Arabidopsis thaliana: one gene and its partners. The protein of the gene in region 2 interacts with the protein of the main gene of each other region in a biochemical or structural test. Each region holds a gene or a part of one and is shown on either strand. Other genes may lie near its edges.

Region 1 (5,011 bases), on a different chromosome or scaffold from region 2:
ATCGACATATTTTTGGTCATGGTTTGAATTGTTGTATTGTGTGGTTCAGTTCATTCTTACTAGTCTTGACAAATTTTGATACAAATTTCATATGAATACTTACTTTACTTTATGTAAAATATTCAGACGAAATTTCGTATAAATTTTGCAAGAGTAAGGCAGCGAGACAAACAAGTAGACTAAGAAAAACATAAAAAGCAAAGGAAAATTTCTTATAGCTAATTTCCACAATTAAGTAATCGTTTTCTCACCATAATCCGTGACTTGTTTGACCAAACGTAAGAAATCAATTAAACGATGACTAATTCAATAGTACTCTTATTGTTCTAGTCATGAAAAAGACTAACACGAATTTAATGTCACAATTGCAACTAATTTCCTTACTAAATTTCCTGGAAATTGCAACTGAACAAACAAGGTAGTGGCTTTCTTTTTCTTTTGGCGTTTTTCACAAACTTCTTCTATATTAATTTACTACTTATCTCTTAATATAGTATCAAAATGTTCTTTCATTGGTTGTTTTGGTCAATAGACGATAAATCTTCTGATATAGCTGACTTTGTCAATCCATTTAGTGTGGTTTCTTTAATATTTTTAATCCTAGATTATACAAATATCGAACCGTAGTTGGCAGCTTGCAATATCTTCTCTTCATGCATCTACCACATTGCTTTTGCTTATGTATGTTGTCAATAGACTCTCCATTCATGCATCAACCATGACCATTTGCTTGCAGTGAAGAAGCTGTGTTTGCGTTATTTTCGCAGTATTGGTGATCGCGGCTTGCTTTTTCGAGACTTGGTTCATGTCTTTGTTGGGTGATTTTTGGACTGGTTATAAGAATGACTACACATCTACTAAAGCAAACCTGATTTACCATGGTAAACACTTGACATCGCGGTCATCTAAGAAGTTGAAGACAGTGGTTCGCTCCTCCGCGGATGCCGAAAACAAGCTTGTTGCTGCCACTACTACTGAAGTCCAATAAGTTAGATCACTCTCAAGATTCTGAGAATCATACATCATGTGGATAACTATAAACGTTCCTTTAAACTTGTTTGAATTTGTCTGTGAACATACAATGTCATGATAGGGAAAATAAGTTATTCATGCAAGATACATTTATTTAACTACAGTTTTGAGGTTTTTTCATTTATGATACAACAAACTTTCACTCTGCAATCCAAAAACTACTTATCCCTCACTATGTCAACCATTATATATATATACACAAACATGTGTGTGTATATATAGCTATATGTACAAAAGGACTCACCTGCTTTCTTGGAACACAAGACTGAACCCAAAAACAATCAAATCAGCTGCTTAGATTCTTCTTCTTTCTATGAGCTCTCATGGAAGTTTGCTGACCTAGAAAGAGCAGCAGGATTCGCTTGCAACTCCGGTCTTCTTCCCGGAAGTCTTCCTTCAGAAAGACTGCTTTTTTCTTTGGTTGATGATCTGAAAGCTCCGAAAGTATCCGCATTTTCGTCTTTTTTGATCCCTAATGTTTCCCAGATGGAACTTTTAGCAGCTTCCTCTGGATCATCAATCCTCAGCGTCTTGGGAACCCACAAGCATCTCTCGGGTTTGCTTTTCTCCCTACCAAGTGACTCGGTTTCATCAAAAGCGGTTCCTGGTTCAGCAGCGTTCTCGTCACGTGAATGTTTACCTAGTGTAGGAGAATTTGGATTGGAACCAGATGGTGAATTGGGTTGTGGCATCCATGTGAAGCTGTTCCATGCCCCCGGTGAAACCCCCGGGCAGCTCCAGTAAGCCGGTGGAGGGTAAAACGGTAAAATCGTCCACGAAACTCCGTTCCAAGCGTAAGGCCAAGTTGGTGGTGGTCCTGGAAAGCATGGAACTTTTGGTAACGGGCTGACTGTTCCAGCTTCTTCGTTTGTCTGGTTTAACGGAACCGTAATCTTCAAGCCTTCATTGGGTTCTTGCAATACAGTTTGTGTCTTCAACAATGACTTCTCAACAAGATTCAATCCAGAAGCCATAGATTCACAAAGCACAGAATCAGAGCCAAAAGTGAGAAGATTTGCACCATTAGGATGTTGAAGATCAGTTCTCGCCACCTTCTGCATAGCTTCCGCAGATGTTATACTTACATGACGGTTATAATGAGAAGCTGGACTCTTATTCTTACGTCTCCCAGCACCAACCGGAACATTCCTCATCGTTCCACCAGCTGTCCAATATCTCTGACATTTCTTGCAGAAATGGCGAGGTTGGTTAACATTATAGTTGTTGTAGTAACAGAACTTGGTTTCCATGCTGTTACATCGCGGACACGGTAGAATCTTATCAGGTTTCTTTAACTTCCCCTCTTGAGAGCAAGCAGTACCACCTGACTCTTCATTCGTCTTTGCAGCTTTTGTTGTTTCCGTTTTTTCAGTTATACCCGATGTAGTAGTAGTAACATCATTAGATTCATTCCTCAATGACTCTTCCTGACACTCACTATCTTTTTCTTCCTGAAGAATAACATAAGAACCAGAGTCAGATCGTTGTTATGTATCCTAATCAAACAAACAACAAACAGAAGCTAGAAGCTACAGGGATCAAAGACTTGATTCCAATCACAGAGAAGCTAAAACCCTGAAAAGTTCTTAAGCAAATCAATATCAAAACCTATAACCATCAATCAAAACCAAATGGAACTAATTAAGATCTCAAATCACTTTATAACAAAAGGAAAAAAAAAAACTCATTTGAGAATCCAGATTTACAATTTTCGAATCCCCAAAAGCTCTGAAAACCTAGTTCTTACATAAACAAACCAAAAATCATAACTTTATCAATAAAACTAAGATTTGACCAATCTAACATAAACCCATCAATCATTTCCATTTAACAAATCAAAATCAATTCACAAGTTCCAAAAAAAACTAACCTTTTTATCAGTCTCGCTCTCTCCTCCACCATCACCAACATCATCACCTTCTTCTCGTCCTAAACCGGAATCACCCATCTCTTCATCATCATCATCGCCGGTACACGAATCTGATAACCGAACAGGAATCTGAGTTTCGGTTAAAAATCCGGTATAGCTAGAAGAAGAATCAACAACACCAAGCTCAGGTAAAGGAATCGTCTTTCCAAAGAGCTTAATCGCCGGATCAGCCATGGTAATGATTCCTTTTCACTTCTTTCTTTCTTTCTTCTCCAGCGAGCAAAAAGCGGAAACTTTTTGAGAAGACAGAGGAAAAAAGTTCCAATTTTTATTTGTTTAAAAGAGAGAGAGAAACGACTGTCTTGTTATCGGTGGTTGTCTGAGTTTTGATTTCTAGATTTGTTAATTGGGAATGCTTTTTTGTCTTTGCGAGAGAGAAAGAAAAAAGATTTACAGATTTTGCTTTTTGGGTTTGTGATCTTTCGAATTGTACAACCTTTTGATTCGCCCAGAGTGCCACGTCATCACACGTGAGGATTCTTAGCCACAAGTTTATTTTTGTTTTTGTGGACTTTTTTTTTTCTCTTTTTCGTCTCTTTTTGGCTTTCTTTTTATTTTCCTTTTCAATCTGGTCAGTGGTCAGCACTTTTTTTTACTTTTACTTTTCTTTTCATTTTTAACTTTTTTATTTTAAAAGTCTGAATTTTTTTAAATTAATGTAAAAATGGTTGATTAAAGGCCATTTAACTTCTAATTTACATGTTTTCTAATTCTAACTATGTCAATAAATTTTTTGTTACCCACACATTTATTAAAAAATTACTGTTTATAAATGAAATTTCAGAAGAAAAAACAAACTTTAGAGTAACAAACAAAAAACATATTTAAAACCTTGAAACACTTTTTAATTCCTAGCTTTCTATAATAGCCATATCCATGGAAAACAATATCATGATTAGATTTGGAGAGAAAGAAAAAAAAAACATATTTATGAAAGAAACAAATTACATGATATAAACATTAATTTTCTCATTTTTAAAGAACTAAGAAGATCCAACAAAAAATTAAAATACTAAAAAAATATAGTATTTTATCCCCAAAAAAACCAATCTTTGTCTTCAAACAAATCCATTTTACAGATTGATACTCCTTGTGTTCTTTTTTCTTTGATTTTTTAGGAAAAACACAAATATTAAGAAAACATATTAAATGTTGCTTTTAAATGTATTATTCTTTGTAATTTATAATTTTCAATAACTCTAAACCAATGATATTCAATAATTCTTATTGAAGTTTACAATTTATCAATTATAACTAAATAAATATTGCATTGAAAACCAAAAAATCAATCTTTTTGAAACAATTTTTTTCTAGAAAATCAAAAAAAAAAAACAAAAGGAGTATGTGTTTTTTTACGCTGATAATAATAGTCATTTAGTTACAGTTTTAGCTTGGTACTTGTAGGAAAAATAAATTAACATTGAAATCACTTTCTTTTTTTTAAATGAAGCTACAAGTATTTACTATATAGTGGATCTTCAGTTTCTTTCCTCTTTTTTGCCTATATTCTTGTCATAAAATCTTCAACATATCAGAGATACGTGGCTGTAATAAGTCGATGTTAGAAGTTGTGGTTACTAATGAACGCCAAGTCGATTTGGAAAAAGTGCAATATTGTGGATAAGAAGTAATTGAACGCCAAGTCTAACATTGAAAAAGTGCAATTATGTGGATAAGTATATAGTACCTTTATTTCAGACCACCCCAAATCACAAATATATACTATATAATAAAGTTTTTTCATTACATTTATTATATTATCCCCACTTGGAGGCACGACTGATAAAGATTCTTAGGAAACATATTTTATCATTTTTCGACTGTTTCCCCGAACTAAAGAAACGTTATTTGAGTTTTGTTTTATTAAAATTAGCATTTTTCGTATAAAAACAAGTCTCGTTGATATATCACATGACTTGAACATTCTCGAATTAGAACTTGAATGAACTATATTGTAAAAAAAAAAAAAAAAAAGAACTTGAATGAACTATATTGTAAAAAAAAAAAAAAAAAGAACTTGAATGAACTATATTGTAAAAAAAAAAAAAA
Region 2 (4,689 bases):
TGCAGAGCTGCTGGCCGAAGTGGGTTAACAAGGAGTACACAATGAGATGAGGGAGGAGATGTGACTAGTTCTTGTGGTCGTATCAGTTTAAACAAGTAAAACCGTTATAGGCTGGTGTGATTTTTAAGCTCTTTTTAACCTTTATATCTCTTTTTTATTTCTCTTGCTTTCCTTTACATCCTCTGTGATTTATTGAATTACCATAGAACTTAAGGATGAAAAAGATAAGTATGCTTTCTGACTTAGATCGGCTTACACTGCTTAGCGATGACGACAAGAAAAAAGGGTGGAGGGAGAGATGTTTGACATTTTCGCATAACATTTTCTGTCCTATGGAAGTAGTTTGTTTGGCTGTATAGGTTTTAGCTCTGTATTGAAGTTTGTGTACTTTACTTTTTCGGTTTCTTCATTCTATTTACTTGAGGTGTTGTGTGATTATTTCTACTTTTGGGTTTGTGGATATATATATATATGTCCAAACTCAGTGTCTTCTCTCTTTTGGATGGTACGTCAAAAATCAAATCCTGCATGGTCGAGTAACAAGGAGAAGTATATTATAGAAGGATCTTCATACAGCAAAACCATTAACATTACATGAATATCTATCTAAAGCGTACAACAATCACTAATTTACTATGTACACACGCTTCTAGCTTCTGATATATCTCTTCTACATGTCGTAAGAGTTTGGAATGTGACAGATACAAAACCACAAACCAAATGAAGAAGGAAAGAGTCTTTACAGATCCGAGTCTTGCCGGCTAGCCAAGCAGAGTTCATGTAATTCATTGAGTATCCATTCCTCACCAGTGTGACCACCAAGGACCAATACTCTAGTTCCTCCAACAACGCATGTGCTATGTCCCCAAGCTAACTTAGGCGGTTTCCCGGGGACATTCAGGATCCTCCATGACGGTTTCTCTTCTGCAGGATCTATTAGAAACAGTTGCGAAGGAGAGTGAAGCCCTGCAATCGACCCTCCAAAGATGATGACCCTACCACACGGCATGCTCACAGCCACATGGTCTAGTCTTGGAGGCGGTACAACCACGCCTGGGAATGCGCTACACTCAAGCTCTCTCCATCTTGGTTCTTCATCCTCCAAGTCTATAGTGTATGCCTCCCCTGACCTTAGCTTTAGATGACCACTATTTGCAAGCCCGCCAAACATTAGGATTTTAGTCCGACCAAAGACCGATAAAGAATGCCCAAGTCTAGAAGGAGGAGCCCATGATGTCGGGATCTCTTTCCATGTCGGTTTATCTGTTGTCAGATCCAACAAGAAGGTGTCGCTGAGAAGCACTCCAGCGTCTGTGCAGCCACCTGAGACAACCAGTTTAGAGCCCTCAATGGTGCACGAGCTGTGCCAAGATCTTGGCAATGGAGGAGTTCCTCCTGCTACTTCCTTCCATGTGGGATGCTTAGCGTCTAGATCAAGCACAAATACATCATTAAGCAATCCTTGTCTTCCACACCCTCCAAAGACTACCAACCACGACCCGTTGAGACACGAGAGTGTGTGTCCCCAACGTCCTGGAGGCGACGACGTCACCCTCACACGCTGCCACTCAGGACACTCTGCATCAAGATTGAGAACAAAAGTATCATCCAATGGCTGCATGTTAACCCCTTCCCCACCAAATAGCACAAGCCGGTTCCCAACAGCACACGCGCTGAAATTGCAGCGGGAAGGTTGTACAATCCCTCCAACAGTAAATTTACGCCAACACACAGCTTCAAGAGTGGTGAGCTCTCTAGCTAACCGACCCCATCTTAGCTTCTTAGTCATAATCTCCAGTGTTCCAGTTATCTCTTTTCCCCACGCATTCTGACATACCATCTTCCTCACACTCTCGTTCTTCGTCAACTGCCTCAACCTCCTGCAAGCAGAACCAATTGAAGCAACGTCCCTTGGAGTTAACCGAGATAAGATGTTATGAGCCAAAACTTCATCAGATAGCTGCAATATCCCACAGAAATCTTCATGATGCTCCTTAAACCTCGGGCTTCCACTTGGAAACAAGCACTCAGATGTTTGATCAAGCTGTTGTTTATGTTTGAACACAGGATACGAGACACGGTCAAGGTCTATAGTCGTTTCAGAGAAGACCTGTATCCCAATTACGTGTGTAATGGTTCCATCATCGTCACGTATTGGAGCAAGCCGTAGTCTGTTAACCAAAGGAGTACCATCTTTTCTGAAATTAAGAAGCTCTCCTTGGAATTCAATACCTTCTTCAAGACATCTCCTAATCTCAGATACAACCACAGGATCAACCAATGGGTGACGCCTTTGAGCTCGAGGATCTCTGTACTGTAGGAATCGACTGAAACCAAGCAGATTCAACCACAAATGCAGCATTATTCAAGAGAATTGATAACAACACACTCCAATTCAAAAAGGGGGAAATCGGAGAAATTAATATACCAGTTACGACCAAGAACTTCATCGGCACGATAGCCAGTGAAGACTTCGAAGACTCTGTTGACATAGATCAAAGGAAAATCTGGCTCCAGAGCATCGGAAACAATGAACGAAGGCGGAGTCATTGGGTAATAGAACATCCCAACCTCTAACGGAAGCTTCTCATCCTCTACTTGTTCTTCGATTCCATCGTTACAGTATTCTTCTGCTTCTTCAACTCTGCCGCGTTTCTTTCGTTTTCCGGTGGCTTCTCCGATCGCATGTTCTCTCGCCATTTTTCTCGCTTACAGAAATATCTTCTTCTTCTCTGATAAGCTCTCAGCCTTATGATATTTTATTTCTTTTTGTGTCTGTTTAAACTTTTAAAATATCTTGGCTTAGTTGGTGACTTATTGACGAATATACCCTTTATATTTAAGACGAGGCAAGAAGTCTTCGCGCCAGGAGTTGGTGGCAATTTTCGTAATTAAAAGGATATATCAGGGGTATGTTTAAAAAAAGTAAGTCTACTCTTGTTCGATTGTAACACGTCACCAGGGGATATTCCGAGAAAATATCTAGCCTACTCAACCACTCGCTTCTTCCACGTCATCATATTTTGTGAAAGATATTTGTTTTTTTTTTGAAGATTGAGATTTGAGGGAAGATATTTGTTTTTGTTTGTGAAGTGTTGGAACTTGGAAGTTGGAACGCAATTGGAATCAGATTCACGTAACCGTTGACTCTGGTCAAATAATAGATATTTTTGTGAAACGCGATTCTCGAAAAGGTTACACATAATGTTAATGTAACAAATTGAGTTTTCGTGGTGAGTGGAATGGGATGATGAGACAAGGGAGTTTTTCTCCCCAGTTGAGAAAATTCAGATTTAGCTCTAAAACTTCCCACTTATATAAGTTTCTAAACAAAAAAATTACATTAGAAATACGAAAATGTACGTAAGTAATGTAAATATGTAATAATTGATAGCAATAGTGGCCATAGACCCCACATAGTGGCATACTATGAGAGTAATAGAGTTAAGTGTAGTCCTAAGATTTACAGAAGTCCAGATCTAGGCCCATACTAAATAGCTAGCCCACAAAGCCCACACAAAAACTTAATTTGAACCAAATAAATAGACAACATATTTTTTTTATTTTTCTTAACCGTGTGAGAAGGCTTCTGACCATAATCTTTCAAGTACATGAAATCAACCTTTACATATTCCAATTGTGTTCAACCAAAAAAATATTCCAATTTAAATAATATATTTCCATTCCAAAAAACTAAACACAAGAAAACTAACCCTTTTGGTATATAGACAAAATAATTGTTTCATAGATTTATCTTTTTATTTTATCTTTAATTTCTATACAATTAAAGGTAAATTAAAGGTAATTTCTATACCACTCCAACATTTCCTGTTATGTTTCATTAGCTACTTCAAGTTTTAGATTTATATCGGGTTCACAAGACGTCAATAAATTACATTCCTTATCACCTCAATAAAAAAAGTTATGATTTTTTGTTTTTCTTATTTTTTCTTTACTTTTTGATATAAAAAAAAGTTCTGGCTTTTGTTATGTAATTTGATTTTTTGAACACAAACAATCGAAACTCAAACATCTTTTTGGTGGACTAAAACCCAACAACTTTTTTTGATTGATGAAAAAAATAACATTCATTTTTGGAGAATATAAATTCAGGGAAATTTATAATTAATTAAAGGTATTGAGGCTCTATCTATTGCCAATACTTTTGGGACCGCTTGGTTCATCGCGAAGACAAAGAGACATGTTCAAAAACAATGGTACTCATCGCACCCCTGTCACTAGAATAATAGCCACTAATCCTAGTCTAACATTGGCCGGTCTGGTCTTTTTCTTTTTAAATAGTTTCATGATTGTCATCATCTCAATTTTTGTGTAAGTTAAGTTATGAGTTAATTAATGACAGAAATAGAGCGAGCAATAGTTTCTTTTGAAGTCGTGAAATGTATAACATCAATATAGATCCAAGTATGATTTTTGACCACATCCAAATTACAAATTAAAAACAAAAAAATTCTATAAATGTTTCGAATATTTATATAAAAACAGACGAAGAAAAATTGAAGTTTTGAATCATGAATGAAACAAAATCGTGCTAAGCAAAACAATTTAAATGGTTGGTGTACTGCATGTGCTTTAACGTGAGCAGTTTAATGAGAATTAGGGTTCCACATGTTAATATATATTTATAATGTTATCACAAAAATATATTTGTAATTTCACAGCTAAAAT
Region 3 (4,360 bases), on a different chromosome or scaffold from region 2:
CCAATTATCTATTGACATGACATTAAAATCCAACCTCCTTTGCTTTTTTTTTTTTTTGCTCTTATTCTGATCTTAAATCTCTTTATCTTTTTTTTTTCTTTACGTCCATAAATTCTTTAGAACAAAACCATAAAACACAAGTTTAATGGTAAGAATAAAGGAACAAAATCACCAAATGAAAGCAAAAAAGAAAATCAAACGAAATAGATATCAGACTATTAAGAAAGAGAGACCATGGCATTATTACTATATCAATATGAAAGAGTTTTAGTTACTATTGGGCCAAACCAAAAAAATGTTTGAACACTAAAATAAGAGACAACAAACTAAGAAAATAGTCAAAGAGATTATTCTCTTCTTACTAAAGAAGGATGAAAACATCATCTAGTTCACAGCAATATCTGGAATGGAGGGTTGCCTAAACCTCCACTCCATTGAATGTGCATAAACTACTTTCAGATATGCAGTTTTGTAGTCATCCAAGAGATCAAGTTTTTTGAAGACATAGTATTGGCCAAGTTTTATAATCTACACAACAGCTATTACGAACTCACCCTTATCACCATACTCAACAACTTTTTCGGATCGACTAGTATCATTACTAAATTTGATTTGGGGTTGCTTTATCCAGTTAGAAAAAACTGATATCCAATTCCAACGAGGTCTAATATCTATTCTATAGAAAATCAAACTGTCCTATGGTATAGCAAAATGTTTAGTTGTATAGAATCTAATCTAAAGAAATAAATTATACAAAACGGTAATGTTATAAATTAGGAAAACATCTACATAGTCAAATCCTAATTATTACATAGATTGTGTTTTTTTTTTTCATATCGATTGTGATGTTATTTTGCATAAAAGTTATATGACAATAAAAACTTTTAGTATGAAATTTTTTACCTAAAAATTGGTAGACGAATGACCGAGAGATTGCCAAAGATTATAGTTAACATTTAAAATGAATACAAATACCATGTAATGATGTAAAAAAAAGTATTAAGTAATTTTGAAGTGTCATGATGCTTACAGTGAAATTTGTTTTACAATCAGTGCCAAATTTTACAACTATAAGTAAAGTTGAACGAAAATCCTAGAATCTATCAAATTTGAGCACTATTATTATAGTTTGCACTCGATGATTTACAAAATTCTTTGAATCCATGGTACATCCAACAATTATCCTCTATTACAGTTTTTAATGAAGAGAAAAATATGTAGAGATGATTTATAAAGCAAAAAAAATCAGTACATTAATAACCAATATAATATGTTGCTTCATTTTTAAACGCCAATTATAAAAAACAAATAAACAAATTTTCACAATAAAAATTAACTTCTTTTCTGATAGGAAACTAAAAAAAACTGATACTTTTAAGTTTATGATTAATATTATATATATATATATATATATAGTTTTGAATGATCGAATAAATATGTGCGACAGAAAATAAAGGAACAAAAAAAAAGGATTAGATGCGAATAATACACATAAAAAGGTAGGAAATATTAATGATTAATTAATAAAACCCGACAACCCGACCCGGTATTAATGAGCGAAAAGGAAAATATCAGAGGCCACATAAACTTGTGGCTGAGAATTGAATTGTGATGCTGACGTGTTTCCTCCTTCTCTTTTAAACTGATCTTCTAAATCCCTAAATTTCACCAATTCACACTCTCCCAAATCTCTCTTCTTTAACAACAAAAAAAAAAATCACAGAGACATAGAGAGAAGAAGAAACAGAGGCTCCAAAAAAATGATGATGGAGACTAGAGATCCAGCTATTAAGCTTTTCGGTATGAAAATCCCTTTTCCGTCGGTTTTTGAATCGGCAGTTACGGTGGAGGATGACGAAGAAGATGACTGGAGCGGCGGAGATGACAAATCACCAGAGAAGGTACTGATTGATAAAAAGTAATTTTGGCCTGAAAATTGGAATTGTCCTAAAAATAAATATGATTAGATTAGTTTTGTACTAGTAATTAACTTAACTAGTTACTTCTTCAGTCTCTGTTTTGTCTGTTTTGGATCTACAATTTGTGTTATTGAGTTACATGAACGAAATTATAACATAGTTCCAGTCTTGTGTTACCATTAAGATATTACTAGTTCATTTAGTTGTTAGAGATTATTGGTTCTGAACTTCTGATGAAGAATAATTGTTTGATTAAGATTTCATAAAGAGAAACTTCTTTTATTCATTGCAAGTGTTCTTAATTTAGTGTTTCTTGTATCTCAGGTAACTCCAGAGTTATCAGATAAGAACAACAACAACTGTAACGACAACAGTTTTAACAATTCGAAACCCGAAACCTTGGACAAAGAGGAAGCGACATCAACTGATCAGATAGAGAGTAGTGACACGCCTGAGGATAATCAGCAGACGACACCTGATGGTAAAACCCTAAAGAAACCGACTAAGATTCTACCGTGTCCGAGATGCAAAAGCATGGAGACCAAGTTCTGTTATTACAACAACTACAACATAAACCAGCCTCGTCATTTCTGCAAGGCTTGTCAGAGATATTGGACTGCTGGAGGGACTATGAGGAATGTTCCTGTGGGGGCAGGACGTCGTAAGAACAAAAGCTCATCTTCTCATTACCGTCACATCACTATTTCCGAGGCTCTTGAGGCTGCGAGGCTTGACCCGGGCTTACAGGCAAACACAAGGGTCTTGAGTTTTGGTCTCGAAGCTCAGCAGCAGCACGTTGCTGCTCCCATGACACCTGTGATGAAGCTACAAGAAGATCAAAAGGTCTCAAACGGTGCTAGGAACAGGTTTCACGGGTTAGCGGATCAACGGCTTGTAGCTCGGGTAGAGAATGGAGATGATTGCTCAAGCGGATCCTCTGTGACCACCTCTAACAATCACTCAGTGGATGAATCAAGAGCACAAAGCGGCAGTGTTGTTGAAGCACAAATGAACAACAACAACAACAATAACATGAATGGTTATGCTTGCATCCCAGGTGTTCCATGGCCTTACACGTGGAATCCAGCGATGCCTCCACCAGGTTTTTACCCGCCTCCAGGGTATCCAATGCCGTTTTACCCTTACTGGACCATCCCAATGCTACCACCGCATCAATCCTCATCGCCTATAAGCCAAAAGTGTTCAAATACAAACTCTCCGACTCTCGGAAAGCATCCGAGAGATGAAGGATCATCGAAAAAGGACAACGAGACAGAGCGAAAACAGAAGGCCGGGTGCGTTCTGGTCCCGAAAACGTTGAGAATAGATGATCCTAACGAAGCAGCAAAGAGCTCGATATGGACAACATTGGGAATCAAGAACGAGGCGATGTGCAAAGCCGGTGGTATGTTCAAAGGGTTTGATCATAAGACAAAGATGTATAACAACGACAAAGCTGAGAACTCCCCTGTTCTTTCTGCTAACCCTGCTGCTCTATCAAGATCACACAATTTCCATGAACAGATTTAGAGTTACATATGTATATGTATATATGTATGATTGATTGTATGTATAGATGATACTGGAGAATGATGAGTTTTTGAGAATCAAACTCTTTTCTTCTTTCTAGTGATTGCCTTTATTCCTTTACATGTTTTGGTTCTCTGTACACTATTTGATTTACCTTTTTTACTTTCTTTCTTCATTTGTCAGGAAATGTTGGAAGATAACATTAATGGTAAAAAGTTGGTGTGGACCGTTGTTGCGTTGGCATTTCAACCGACACTCTTCTGACTCTTCTTTTGCAACTTCTTTGTCTTGTGAAGAACAAATTTTTTGTAATCTAATTACTTTGTCTTGTTCAGTACCAATTTATATCGGGATCAAAGGGAATAATAATAAATTTCCAAGTGTTTTTAGCTATTTCCAAAGTTTTTAACATATATATATATATATATATATGCTTAGTTATTAAAATTGTTCTGTTATTTATAGTTTGGTTTATTTAATAATTTGTTTATAAAAACTCATTTGATATTTTCAATATATTATAGTTTGAAATAGCAATACACTTCAAAATCTCTTAAGCATACTGTGTAAATATCGAATCCAATAACATTTTCTTTATATTTTTGTGAAATGGGACCATCCAATTTTAATTTAAGGGATTAATATATTTGTCGAAAATTTTTCGAAATAATCATTATAAGATAATTTAACATGCTTGCTCATCTACTTATTCCCAAATTAATATTTTTTAATTTTTATAAATTTTTATCCATAAAATCTGGATAAAATTAGAAAACATAAAACAAAAATATTAGACGATAGAAACGGTTTAACAAAACCATGTTAGTTTATTGAATATTAACCGTTTTTATCGTCTAATAAAAGAACAAATGGATTGTTACTTGAAAATAAAAATAGAATATATGAAATTT

Evidence for each region. The genes of interacting proteins can lie anywhere in the genome.
Region 1: the proteins of FKF1 (region 2) and CDF2 form a complex in vitro, tested with the Arabidopsis thaliana proteins (one study listed by BioGRID).
Region 3: the proteins of FKF1 (region 2) and CDF3 form a complex in vitro, tested with the Arabidopsis thaliana proteins (one study listed by BioGRID).

What each region holds. Positions count from the first base shown.
Region 1 is NC_003076.8:15,877,045-15,882,055, reverse strand, and holds CDF2 (cycling DOF factor 2), read right to left. Parts: upstream 3,331-5,011; 5' UTR 3,137-3,330; coding exon 2,903-3,136; intron 2,484-2,902; coding exon 1,344-2,483; 3' UTR 1,277-1,343; exon of another isoform or gene 975-1,276; 3' UTR 519-974; downstream 1-518. UniProt on the Arabidopsis thaliana protein: Transcription factor that binds specifically to a 5'-AA[AG]G-3' consensus core sequence. Regulates a photoperiodic flowering response. Transcriptional repressor of 'CONSTANS' expression.
Region 2 is NC_003070.9:25,506,748-25,511,436, reverse strand, and holds FKF1 (flavin-binding, kelch repeat, f box 1), read right to left. Parts: upstream 2,799-4,689; 5' UTR 2,701-2,798; coding exon 2,429-2,700; intron 2,328-2,428; coding exon 740-2,327; 3' UTR 530-739; downstream 1-529. Other genes in the region: MAP70-1 (microtubule-associated proteins 70-1), read left to right, coding at 6-45. UniProt on the Arabidopsis thaliana protein: Component of an E3 ubiquitin ligase complex that plays a central role in blue light-dependent circadian cycles.
Region 3 is NC_003074.8:17,503,365-17,507,724, reverse strand, and holds CDF3 (cycling DOF factor 3), read left to right. Parts: upstream 1-1,600; 5' UTR 1,601-1,760; coding exon 1,761-1,901; intron 1,902-2,243; coding exon 2,244-3,449; 3' UTR 3,450-3,842; downstream 3,843-4,360. UniProt on the Arabidopsis thaliana protein: Transcription factor that binds specifically to a 5'-AA[AG]G-3' consensus core sequence. Regulates a photoperiodic flowering response. Transcriptional repressor of 'CONSTANS' expression.